Linked DNA regions of Neurospora crassa OR74A. The protein of the gene in region 2 purifies or fractionates together with the protein of the main gene of each other region. This does not show direct contact. Links are inferred from orthologs where the notes say so. Each region holds a gene or a part of one and is shown on either strand. Other genes may lie near its edges. The genes, in order: NCU04280, NCU01779 and NCU08707.

Evidence for each region.
Region 1: the proteins of NCU01779 (region 2) and NCU04280 purify together in Saccharomyces cerevisiae (affinity purification with mass spectrometry; 3 studies listed by BioGRID, with this or other methods). This does not show direct contact. The link is inferred for Neurospora crassa OR74A from reciprocal best matches to the Saccharomyces cerevisiae genes NFU1 and ACO2.
Region 3: the proteins of NCU01779 (region 2) and NCU08707 purify together in Saccharomyces cerevisiae (affinity purification with mass spectrometry; 3 studies listed by BioGRID, with this or other methods). This does not show direct contact. The link is inferred for Neurospora crassa OR74A from reciprocal best matches to the Saccharomyces cerevisiae genes NFU1 and ISA1.

What each region holds. Positions count from the first base shown.
Region 1 is NC_026505.1:5,481,518-5,485,787, reverse strand, and holds the start of NCU04280 (aconitate hydratase), read left to right. Parts: upstream 1-1,419; 5' UTR 1,420-1,579; coding exon 1,580-1,624; intron 1,625-1,712; coding exon 1,713-2,569; intron 2,570-2,634; coding exon 2,635-4,162; 3' UTR 4,163-4,270. Other genes in the region: NCU04281 (WD-repeat protein pop3), read left to right, coding at 1-228, 303-719. UniProt on the Saccharomyces cerevisiae protein: Catalyzes the reversible dehydration of (R)-homocitrate to cis-homoaconitate, a step in the alpha-aminoadipate pathway for lysine biosynthesis.
Region 2 is NC_026502.1:2,466,699-2,470,604, forward strand, and holds NCU01779 (HIRA-interacting protein 5), read left to right. Parts: upstream 1-1,354; 5' UTR 1,355-1,467; coding exon 1,468-2,292; intron 2,293-2,385; coding exon 2,386-2,541; 3' UTR 2,542-3,348; downstream 3,349-3,906. Other genes in the region: NCU01780 (hypothetical protein), read right to left, coding at 1-44, 110-549. UniProt on the Saccharomyces cerevisiae protein: Involved in iron homeostasis within the mitochondrion where it is involved in the assembly of iron-sulfur proteins.
Region 3 is NC_026502.1:3,750,443-3,754,222, forward strand, and holds NCU08707 (iron sulfur assembly protein), read right to left. Parts: upstream 2,628-3,780; 5' UTR 2,191-2,627; coding exon 1,284-2,190; intron 1,199-1,283; coding exon 1,161-1,198; 3' UTR 582-1,160; downstream 1-581. Other genes in the region: NCU08706 (AAA family ATPase), read right to left, coding at 1-231; NCU08708 (hypothetical protein), read right to left, coding at 3,299-3,780. UniProt on the Saccharomyces cerevisiae protein: Involved in the assembly of mitochondrial and cytoplasmic iron-sulfur proteins. Probably involved in the binding of an intermediate of Fe/S cluster assembly.

The DNA.
Region 1 (4,270 bases), on a different chromosome or scaffold from region 2:
CGCACCGGAACCATCCAGCGAAGCTACAACCACGGCTCTCCGGCAAACGACGTTGTCATCCACCCTAATCAGGGAGAGATCATCAGCTGCGACCGCGCCGGAAGCATCCGACTGTGGGATCTGGCCGAGAACACTTGCTCGCACCAGCTAATCCCCGAGGAGGATGTTTCAGTGACAAGTGTCACGGTTGCCAGTGACGGTACACTTCTTTGTGCGGCCAACACTGCTGTAAGTTTTCTCTCCACCGAGTCATTCCTTGCTGTATCTTCCCGATATACTGACACCTCCTTTCTGTCTGCCAGGGCAATGTATTCGTTTGGCAACTCATCCAGGCCTATGACCGCACCCAGCTGATTCCCCTCACCCACTTTTCCGCACACAAGGAAAGCATCACGCGCATCCTACTCTCGCCCGATGTCAAGAAGCTCGCAACGTGTAGCGCCGACCATACGGCCAGGATCTGGGAAGTCAGGGAAATGGAACCTGCCACGGCCGATTCGGAACCGCAGGCGTTCCCCCTCGAGGCCACTCTCAAGGAGCACCAGCGTTGGGTATGGGACTGTGCCTTCAGCGCTGACAGTGCCTACTTGGTAACTGCCTGCAGTGATCATTATGCGCGGCTGTGGGAATTACACACGCAGCTTGTTATCAGACAGTACAACGGCCATCACCGCGGTATTGTATGCGTCGCTCTCAACGATTATTCCGAAGCTCGCTAGTGGGAACTTTTGGATGAAGATGAGGAGACGGCGACAATTTGCAACACGGCTGAAGTGTAGGGCGGCTGCGGAAAGATGTCAATTTTTACGTCTCTATGATGGGCTGTCGATGTAAGAGGAAACGAAGCTGCAAAGTGCAGTGTCATGGCAGGGGCATTTCATATGTGCTATTTTCCCCGGATATCCTTTTTGAGAGCGACTGGCGGGTTGTTTAGTAGAATCGGCTATGGCAATGGCGTTTTATGGTTATGCAAGTAATGTTTTTAGAGTGGAAAATCACACAACGACATGAATTCCCAAGTACGCCCGCCACGCCGTTTCATAACACTTGATACCTGGTAGCAAAAAGTATTGCTATATAACAGTAGACCACATTTCCGTCGGATATAAGAACAATTCAAGATGAAAGCTCGGCCGAAGTCCGTGACTGAGAGAATCGATTAGGAACATACGAGTCATGATTGGCTTGAATAGTCGAAAAGTGGATCAGCTGTGTGTTACGCCCCGGCTTGGCAGATTCAAAGTCAACACTGGTTCAAGGGTACTGCCGGCCTGGAGGGTTTTACTAGTGATCTGGAACTTTTGAGGACTTGCCTGGGCATCTCAGAATTCAGAATTGAAATCAAAGACAAAGCATTCACTTAAAATAGCTGGATGTTATTGGACAAAAAGACAGTTAGCGTACTTCCAGTGTATGTAGTGTACCGCAATCCCCGGATTTGCTGCTTGGGTGGCGGCGGCACTCACAAGTGGAATGGCTCCGTAATTCGGACCAAAGTGAAGATAGTGTAACCGGCAACTTTTCTCTCCTCTTTTCTTTCTCCAAACAACCAAGTTCCCCTTCTGTACAGTCTGTCACCATGAGGTCAATTGATCTCGCCAGTCGCTCAGGCGCTGCCCTGAAGGTAGGCCATTTCCCCGAGGCTCAACCCTGTACAAAATAAAGGGCTACTTAGTGACTCACCAGCGCTAACAAGTCGTCCTTTCTCGTAGCGGGCAATTCAAGCCAAGCAGCTCCCCTCGCGCGTCGCATGCGCTTCGGCCCGCTCCTTTTCTTCCACCTCCTCCAACAACACCGGCGTGCTTCCTCCCAGATATGAGACCCTCTACAACAAGTATTCCGAGGTCCGCCGCGTGCTGGGTTCGCAGCGCCTGACCCTGGCCGAGAAGATCCTCTACTCCCACCTCGACAATGTCGAAGAGTCGCTCCTCTCCAACACCAACGGCGGCCGTGACGTCCGCGGCAAGGCCAACCTCAAGCTCAAGCCCGACCGTGTGAACATGCAGGATGCCTCTGCCCAGATGGCTCTCCTGCAGTTCATGACTTGCAACCTCCCCCAGCCCGTTATTCCTGCCAGTATTCACTGCGACCACTTGATTGTTGGATCCAAGGGTGCCGATGAGGACTTGAAGGCCGGTATTGCCACCAACAACGAGGTTTTCGACTTCCTCGAGTCGGCTGGCAAGAAGTACGGTATCGACTTTTGGCCTCCCGGTGCTGGTATTATTCACCAGACCGTCCTCGAGAACTACGCCGTCCCCGGTCTCATGATGCTCGGAACCGACAGCCACTCTCCCAACGCTGGTGGTTTGACTACCATTACTATCGGTGTCGGCGGTGCTGATGCTGTTGAGGCCCTCGTTGGTGCCCCTTGGGAGCTCAAGGCCCCCAAGATTCTCGGTGTTCGCCTGACTGGCAAGCTCAACGACTGGGTCAGCGCCAAGGATATTATTCTTCACCTTACCGGCCGTCTTACCGTCCGTGGTGGTACTGGCTACATTGTTGAGTACTTCGGCCCTGGTATCGAGTCTTTGTCGTGTTCTGGTTCTTCAACTCTTTGCAATATGGGGTGAGTTCTCCCTAAGCTTTCCCCCTCGCCATTTAGAATGTATTGACTGACCATTGTTGCTACAGTGCTGAGATTGGCGCCACTACCTCAATCTTCCCCTTTACCGAGGCTTCCAGCCGCTACCTCAAGGCCACCAACCGCGAGCAGGCCGATAAGGACGCCAAGAACTTCGAGAACTTCACCAAGGGCACCGGTCAGGACTCGTTCTTCAAGTTCAAGGCCGACGAGGGCGCCCAGTACGATGAGTTGATTGAGATCGACCTTTCCAAGCTCGAGCCCCATATCAACGGTCCCTTCACTCCCGATCTTTCCATCCCTCTTTCCGAGTTCAAGAAGACTGTCCAGGAGCAAAAGTGGCCTGAGAAGCTTTCTGCTGGTCTGATTGGTAGCTGCACTAACAGCTCCTATGAGGACATGACCCGTTGCGAGAGCATTGTCAAGGCCGCCGAGCAGGCTGGTATCAAGCCCGCTTCCGACTTCTACATTACCCCCGGTTCCGAGGGCATTCGTGCCACTCTTGAGAGAGACAACACCCTTCAGACTTTTGAGAAGGCTGGTGGTATTGTCCTCTCGAACGCCTGCGGTCCCTGCATCGGCCAGTGGAAGCGCCAGGATGACATCCCTAAGGGCACTCCCAACGCCATCCTTACTTCCTACAACAGAAACTTCCGCGGTCGCAACGACGGTAACCTCGAGACCATGAACTTCCTCGCCTCGCCCGAAATCGTCACCGCCATGGCCTACGCCGGTTCCACCACCTTCAACCCCATCACCGACAGCCTGACCACCCCCGACGGCAAGGAATTCAAGTTCCCTGCGCCCAAGGGTCTCGAGGGTCCCGAAACCCCCTTCGAAGCCGGCCGCGAGGTCTTCCAAGTCCAGTCGGGATCCCCCAACCCGAACGTGGAAGTCGCCATCTCGCCCTCCTCTGAGCGTCTCGCCCTCCTCGAGCCCTTTGAGCCTTTCCCCGAATCGGACCTCTCCGGCCTGCGCGTGCTCGTCAAGGTCACCGGCAAGTGCACAACCGACACCATCTCCGCCGCCGGTCCCTGGCTCAAGTACAAGGGTCACCTGCCCAACATCTCGGAGAACACGCTCAACACGGCCGTCAACGCCGCCACGGGCGAGGTCAACGTCGCCTACGACCTCGATGGCTCCAAGCACACCATTCCCGAGCTGGCCAAGCAGTGGAAGCAGCGCAACCAGCCCTGGCTCGTCGTTGCCGAGCACAACTACGGCGAGGGCTCCGCGCGCGAGCACGCTGCCCTTCAGCCCCGTTACTTGGGCGCCCGCATCATCGTCACCAAGTCCTTTGCCAGAATCCACGAGACCAACCTCAAGAAGCAGGGTGTCGTGCCCCTGACGTTCGCCAACGAGCAGGATTACGATCTGATCGACGCCGGCGACGAGGTGGCTACTGTCGGTCTGTACGAGATGCTCAAGAACGGTGGCCAGGGCGAGGTTTCCCTCCGGGTTACCAAGAAGGACACTGGCAAGGTGGTGGAGATCAAGACCAAGCATGCGGTTTCCAAGGACCAGGCTGGCTTTATTCTGGCCGGTAGCGCGCTGAACTTGCTCGCCAAGGGTAACTAAGTCGCCCTCATTCGGTCTAGTGCAGCAAGGGGATCTAGGGAGAGGAAGTAAAAGGAAGATGAAAAAGAGGTGGATGATATCCCGAAGCGAGTCGCAAAGTTTTTGATA
Region 2 (3,906 bases):
GGGGGTGGTTTTCCTTGTGGGACTTGTTGCAAGCTACTGAGCAGCTGTTTGTGATGATGAGTACGCATGTTGGGCCTGAGCAGATAAGGGTTTGTTTTGTGAAACTTACTACATAAGCGGGCAGCGCGGACACCTGTACTTCCCTGGCTGCGCTTGACAGACACCACATTGCTTCGCTTCCTTCTTGACAGGTTTTGGTGATGATTCTGGTTCGTCCCCCGGGCTCGGACGTTTTCGTGATGGCGAAGCCGGCTCTTGATTCACTGTTGGCTCCGCGGCTTGTGCCTCTTGCTGCTGGTCGTTTGGCTTTCTCATTACGTAAGTCGGCTCTTTCTTTGGTTCTTGCTCGATCTGAGGTTGTATTATGATGTCTGATTGGTCTTTTGAGCTTGGCTGTCCGTTGACTTGTATAGTATCTTGGTCATTATCCTGGGTGACTGAGGCCTCATCGCGGGCGCCGGCGATGAGCGCCTTCAACTCATCGGCGAACAGTCGCTGGGACTCATCCGAGCCCATTTTCGGACCATCTTCGACGGGCTCGGCGCTCATTGCATGCAAATGATCTCTTAGAAACGCGCGGCTTTCTCAATCCAATGGGCCGAGACCTGGCAATATGTCAATGTCGATAGTGAGGAGCGTGGCGCGCAAAAGGTAAGAGGTGACAGTGAGTGAATGCTGAAAAGCTGTATATTTGTATGATGACACCGTAAAAGTGAAGCCGTACTCGTTGAGTGGAGGCCAGTTTTAGTTTTGTGGCTGGGATATCTCTGAGTGAAGGGTTTCGGTTTGTGAGGTTGAATTGAAATTTTCGAAATGGAAATCGTATCAATATCGCCAAAAGTCGCGATCCGCAGTTTTTGCCAAGCGACCAGGGAAATGCCGATAGGGCGACCAGGACGTGAAGCGAAGGATGTAAGTCGTCGAATATGATTGGCACTCAGCTCCCTCGGTCCAAGCAAAGAAATGCGTTGTCCGTGTGCTGCAAAAAAAAGATGGTGGGACTTGGGCAAAACATCAAAACCTATGGATGAAACTGAATAAACTGCACAACGGGTCCTTCGTTCAGTTCCAAAACCAAAGTCCCGCCACAGTCTCTGATCCAATCAGCGTGGAGGCTGACAAACCACTCCGTCAAAATTGCAGTCAATTGCCCCAAAGGGGAAGCTATGACGCAAAAAGACGGATCAGTTAGAGCTGAAGGTGCATAACACTGGACCCCTGGAGCCGGCATGGCAGTGGACGCATATCGGCGCTAATCGCGTTAGCGTTAGCGGCCGCTGACAATTCCATGCCCGGCACGGCGGCAACATTTCGGAATAGCGGGTATTCTAGTAGTTCTACCAGTAGATGGAATCTGTTTCGGCGTCATTCTTTTTCCCATCCATCTTCCTTTCCCGTCCGAAGTCGCTGTATTTCTTTCTCTCGGCGGCATTCCGACAAAACACCAACACCACCCCACCACCGACGATGCCACTAAATCGACTATTATTACGAAAAGGCCTAGTGCCTCTCGTTTCCAAGTCGACCGTGCGACCCGCCGCGACAACCATCCCGTGTCTGCGCCAAGGTGCTGCCGCTTCTGCTCCCGCCAGCACCAGCACCAGCAGCAGACAAGCGCATACCGGCGCCCGCTCGGCCGCTCGTCCCCGTCTTCAGCAACGGTCATGGGGGGCTCTCAACACCACCCTCGCGCCCCAGCAGCAGCGCCGTACCATCTTCATCCAGACCGAAAACACGCCTAACCCGGACTCGCTCAAGTTCCTGCCCAACCAAAAGGTCATCCCGGACTCGATCAAGACGCCCTTCATCGAGTACATGAACGCGCGTAGCACCATTGCGCCGCCGTACCCTTCGCCGCTGGCCGCGCAGCTCATGAACATCGAGGGAGTCACCTCAGTCTTTTACGGCACCGACTTCATCACGGTGACCAAGTCGGCCGACGCCAACTGGGCGCACATCCGCCCGGAGGTGTTTGCACTCATCACCGAGACCATCACGTCGGGCCAGACGATTGTCAACGTGGTGGAGCGCAACGAAGGGGAGGAATCGACGCAAGAGTCGGACGAGAAGGATAGCTTGGCGTACGACGAGAACGACAGCGAGGTGGTGGGCATGATCAAGGAGCTGCTGGAGACAAGGATCCGCCCCGCGATCCAGGAGGACGGTGGTGATATCGAGTTCCGCGGGTTCGAGGATGGAATCGTCAAGCTCAAGCTGCGCGGAGCATGCCGGACGTGCGACTCGAGCACGGTGACGCTGAAGAACGGAATTGAGGGCATGTTGATGCACTACGTAAGTCTTTCTTCCTCTGGCCGCTGTCTTTTCTCTCCGGCCTGGTCATGGCTTCAACAAACACGTTGCTGACATGCCAAACAACACCCACAGATTGAGGAAGTCCAAGGCGTCGAACAGGTACTTGACCCCGAAGAAGACATAGCATTGCAGGAGTTTCAGAAATTCGAGGAGAAGTTGAGGAAGCAAAAGGGCGAAGTCCCTCCCACCACCGTAGGGAAGGACTCCTTGGATTCTGTCCCTGGCTAATCCGTTTCTCTTGGGGGGGCCTCACTCACTATCTTTCTTAGATTGAAGAACCGTCCTAGAATTCAACCATAAGCTTCTTATGCCATGTCCGTACCGTACCGTACCGTACCGTATCCTCTACTCTTAAAACGGCTCTCGCCCTCAGATATACCCACCGTTGGATATAAACCATACTTGATTCAACCTGGACAGGAGCAGTATACCATAGTACCTCCCCATGTCAACTTGAGCGGATTGAATTTGGTGTCCTTGTTTGTTCCCTTGACCCTTTCCGATTACAGATCGCCTTCCGTGAAATACAAAGTCGATACGAAATCATGCGGGTAGGGAACCCGCAAGGTCGTACAAGCCACTCGGGGTGGTATGTGGAGCATGGGATATGATGGGAGAGAATTGGAAGCTTCCCTGCCCCAACCTCAACCATCTGGATCTAAGCGTAAAGGTGCAATCGATGATCGGTAGGATCAGCCTGTTGACCGGTCAGGGTTCTGGAGGTATCTCGCTGCATGCAGGGTGTCATGCCATATCAAGAATGAACGAAGGGTAGTGGGTGGTCAGGTGCCGATGATTGCCGACACGGCTGCAAAATGCCACCGATACCTCGTGTCGTATGAGTTGGGGTTATGGCGTTGATGTTGGTTGTGTACTGGGTGGGATGGATTTGTGGATGTACGCAGTGAAGTATATATGTGGAGGAATATCGTGAAACAGCTGGTACTCGCCTCTCATGACTTGACAAGGCTTGGGAGCCTCGCAAGTAATGTCTCAAAAAGCAGACACTTCTAGACCTAACAACTTGCAAGTCCTCAGTTTCCAGCAGTGTTTTGTTGTCTCGACTCCACATTTACATAGTTCGATCCTACCTCGGACGGCACGACGGTTTGTAGAGTCTGGGGAAGTGTGTGGATCATCTACCTACTTCTTCGTACATACTAAGTTGCTCAATAGCGAGTCAGCTTTGCTGATGGTATCCATAACATGTTCCAAACACCAATCCGTAGCATGGAGTACGTACTCTCGAGATACTGTACCTCTTTCTGGTGGAACCTCCTTACGCTAGTTGCTCACGTTGTGTGTGTCTAATGATGTCTCCCTTGCCTAGGCTAGGCGCCAGAACGCCTCTCGGTCTGCAGCGAGTTCTGTCTAGGATACTAGGTGTCCTGCACACCGGGTTGCTGCAGCCGGCTTGTTGCCTTACTGGTCAGATAGTAGAGGGTTGATGAGTCTATACTGGTGCACACGCCTATGTTGTTTGTGTGCTTTCGTCTTCACCACAAAGATCATCCCATTGTTTCTGATGGAAACTTTCCGAAAAGTGTTTCAGGGTAACTCGGACTCTCGTAAAGAAATCTTACACGGGAGTTG
Region 3 (3,780 bases), about 1.3 Mb from region 2:
TCGTTTGGCAGGAGTCTGGAAGAAGTCGGCGGCACTTCGTTTCTTTTGGGTTGAACTTGGTGGTAGGTTTCCGTTCTGGGTACTCTGTTGTCCACTACTTTGTGGTTCAGCTTGGGCGGTGGCGCTGTCGGCGGCTGTCTCGAGGAATGACTGGCAGCCGGAATCAATGTGGCTGTTGATTTTGTCGAGGCCCTTGACGGCCTGGTTACATATCGGACAAGTGACCGCCATGGCGTCGCATGTGTCAGTGGGTAGGATGAAAGCAAGACTGAAGCAAAATCTGGTCTTCTCAATGTGTCTGAACGGTGGAATTTCAAAAGATGACCCGAGGAATAGCAAAAATGGGTTGTCGAATGGCGAAATTGGGGGTGACGGGAGACGCGTTTGGAGGGCGTAAATTGATTTTCGAACGCGTTAACAGCTGTTGTCCCCCTGCCGCTGCAGTGTTGGTGGGTGGGGAACTGTGTTGCGGCGGGGATACATAAAGCATGTGGGGTAGCTCCCGCTGGACCGTTGGCAAATTGACAGGTGCCCGCATTTGAGCCGCACGAACAGAAGTCAGAAGTCATGATTAATCAGCCATCAAAAACCACAGCATGCGTCATTAGAGGGCATCGCAGGAAAAGGTACACAGTAGAATGCATGTAATCATGACAGCCAAAATATGGGATGAACCATTTATGCGTGCCAGATATCAAGTATGATGATAAGCCTCTCCATTGCTCTCCCTTGTATAAATGGTGGTGCAACAGGGAAAAGAGAGAAAAATTATACAGCAACACTACCGATAAGTAAAGAGGCCCTTGATAGAGCCGTCCATATCTGAGTTTACCAGAATGGAAAAAAAATAAGTAACAAGAACAATAAAGGGAATAATGCTCTCTACCCAAACGCCAGTACCCATGCTTTCGCCGAAAGAAAACCCCCCCAAGCGCGCGAGCGCTAACAAATGACGCAAAAAGACTCTGAAAGCTCCATACATAACTCTTCGGTCCTTCGTTCTCGATGCGCCAAGGGAGCCACTGAAGTGAAGACCGTCCCGTAGCTCTCTCTAAAGTCGTGTCGTGTCACGCATGACTGTCCGGCTGAAAGGCGCTTCGGCTTCCACGCCCGGCCCACCCCTAGCTTAACCGAGATTTAATATCATTCATGTCCTTTATTCATACCATGAATGACTCTCCACAACCGCATTGCTCCTCTGTTTTCCCTTTCATTAGCCACCATCCCATCCCAATTCCTTTCCGCAGCATCGAGGGAGAAAAGAGGGGGGGGTAAAAACTCACTAATATTAGGATTCCTGAAAACAAACCGCTGACTCAACTTATCCTCCACCCAGTCCATTTCACTGCCAATGATGCTGAAGAGCGCCTTGCTGTCAATCAAGACCTTGACGCCGTCTTGCTCCACCGTCTCGTCAAATGCCCCGGCCTTGTCCACGTACTCCAGGTGGTACGCCAGCCCGCTGCACCCCCGGTTGCGCACGCCGACTTTGATCAGCTTCGGCTCCGGCTGGTCCAGCATGGCGCGCAGGTGCTCGACAGCCGCGGACGTGAGGTTGATGGCGGCCTTGCGAGGGGCGCGCAGGCGGGAGGCGCGGGGGGCGGGCTTGGAGGGCGTTGGTTGCGTGGGGGCGGAGGAGGCTTGTGCTGCGGCGGCGGCGGCCTTGGATTGTTCTTGCTTGGGAGCAACGGGGGTGGGCTGAGAGGGGCTTGATGATGTAGATGGTGACGTTTGCGCAAAGTTGTTTAGTTGTTGCTGCTGCTGCTGCTGCTGCTTCGGTGGCGACGCAATCTTGTGAGGTCTTGTCTCGTGTACGCGCGGCATGGGCGGCTGGACGGGGAAAGCCATGGAGTCATTTCCGGAGCGCGGCGGCGATGGCGGGTGCGAGGGAAGAGTGTAGGACTGGAAAGCGGTGACGGCGGGTGAGGGCGTCGTGCTGAATTGGTGGCGCTGGGCGTGAGCGACGGTGCGGTTGCTGTTGCAGAGGGCGGACGAGAGCGTCCTCCTCGAAAGAATCCTTTGCGCGTTCATCTTGAGTAGAAGTGGTCTTGTTGTTGTTGTTGTGCTTGTTGTGTGATGTACAATCGCAGACGGGAAAGCCGGCGATAGTATGGCGGCGGTGGAAGTGATATGATGTACGGCGGCGGAAGATGAAGAAGAAGAAAGGGGAATTGCAGAGGTCAGGATCATAGGGCTGTGACAAGGCCAGACTTTTGGTGGTTAGGTAGGTTGTGTGTTGGGAAACAGCCGGGGCAATTCGGCTTTGTTCTTCCTCTGATGATGGTTCAGTTGTGCTTGGCGGGAATTCGACAGTTGGGTGCGGGCCAAGTTCAACTGAAGTCAAGTCAGCCGAGCAAGCAAACTGAGCCGGTACGTATGACACGGTGATGGGATGGCAATCTTGGCCCTCGGAGCCGCCCGGTAACCGAGTTGGCCAATCAGCATTCGCCCATTAGGAATCCCGCTGACAATCTGACTGTCTTGAACGATCCACATGTTTCGTAAGCCACGGAGGGTCCACTTATTATATGGGCTCCATCCATTCACACCCATCGGATTTGCCGTATCGACTTCTGGAACTCGCATCTCTCAGGCCACTCGCCCGTTCCCTCCTGCAGTGTCATTCCAGGTCTTCCATTTTGCCCCAGACAGAAGGACCCTGATGGGCACACGTCCCCCGGAAGTCCAGCTGTCAGGGGAGGCATGGAAGGGATGGAAGCGGAAAGGGGGAGGAGGGCAACAAATGCGCCTTATCTGGTTGGTCGCCCTATCAACTTCCAGCCCTGGAATCAAGGGGGGATTGCTTCGAACCCCCTTGTTCGGAATGGACCCCTTTGTTTACTTTTCGTCTTGATTCGGTCAAGTCAGGGGCACGACAAGGACAGCTGGGTCCATCGTGCTCAGGGGCAATGACATCACTCCTCTCTACCCTATAGTGTACTACATACACGTAGGTCGGTGTGTCCCCTCCACAAAGTTGAAATCTGGGGACAGCTCCCTGGAGAAGAAGACAAGTCTCCATCACGATGGTAGTACCATACCATGTCCCACTCGCATCAGGCACAAGAGTACCTGCTATGTTCTCGTCCGTTCAGTCCAGTCCATCTGATATTGGCCGATTGGATATTTGGGCTTCAAGCCATTAAGTAGGTAGTGTACATCATCCTCAAACACAATCTATCCCATACATCGCTAACAGAACAAAACAAAACTAAACAAAACAAACGCCTTTTTCCATCTCAGTCTCATTAGTGTAAAAAACCAAACCATTTCCCTACCACTACCACATCCACATCATTCACTCCCCACCCACCAACGCCCTCACATCCCCCACCGCCTCCCTCGCCATCTTCTTCAACAACCCCCTCTCATCCGCCTCCCTAAACCTCTCCCAGCTATCCAGTCCCTCCTTAGCCTGAATGCTCAACGTCTCGTATCCCTGCTTAATCACCTCGGCAACCTGCACGCTCGTCAACTTTTCCTTACTACTACTAGCCCCTGAAGCCAACATATCCTTGTAGTGCGCCGACACATTCACCAACGTATCGATGCTATTACTCTGTCTCTTCTTCAGCCCGTACACATCCCTGAACTTGACCAGCACATCGCCCATCTCAACAATCTTGTAAAACAGATCGTCGTAGGCTGCCGATGTCGGCAGGAACGATTCGCCTGACGAGAGACCGAGGGCCAGGGTGTTGACTACCAGATCCAGAAGCGTGTCGAGTTGGCCTTGTTGTCCACCTAGCAAGGTCTTGAGGTCCGAGGCGTACGTGGTTA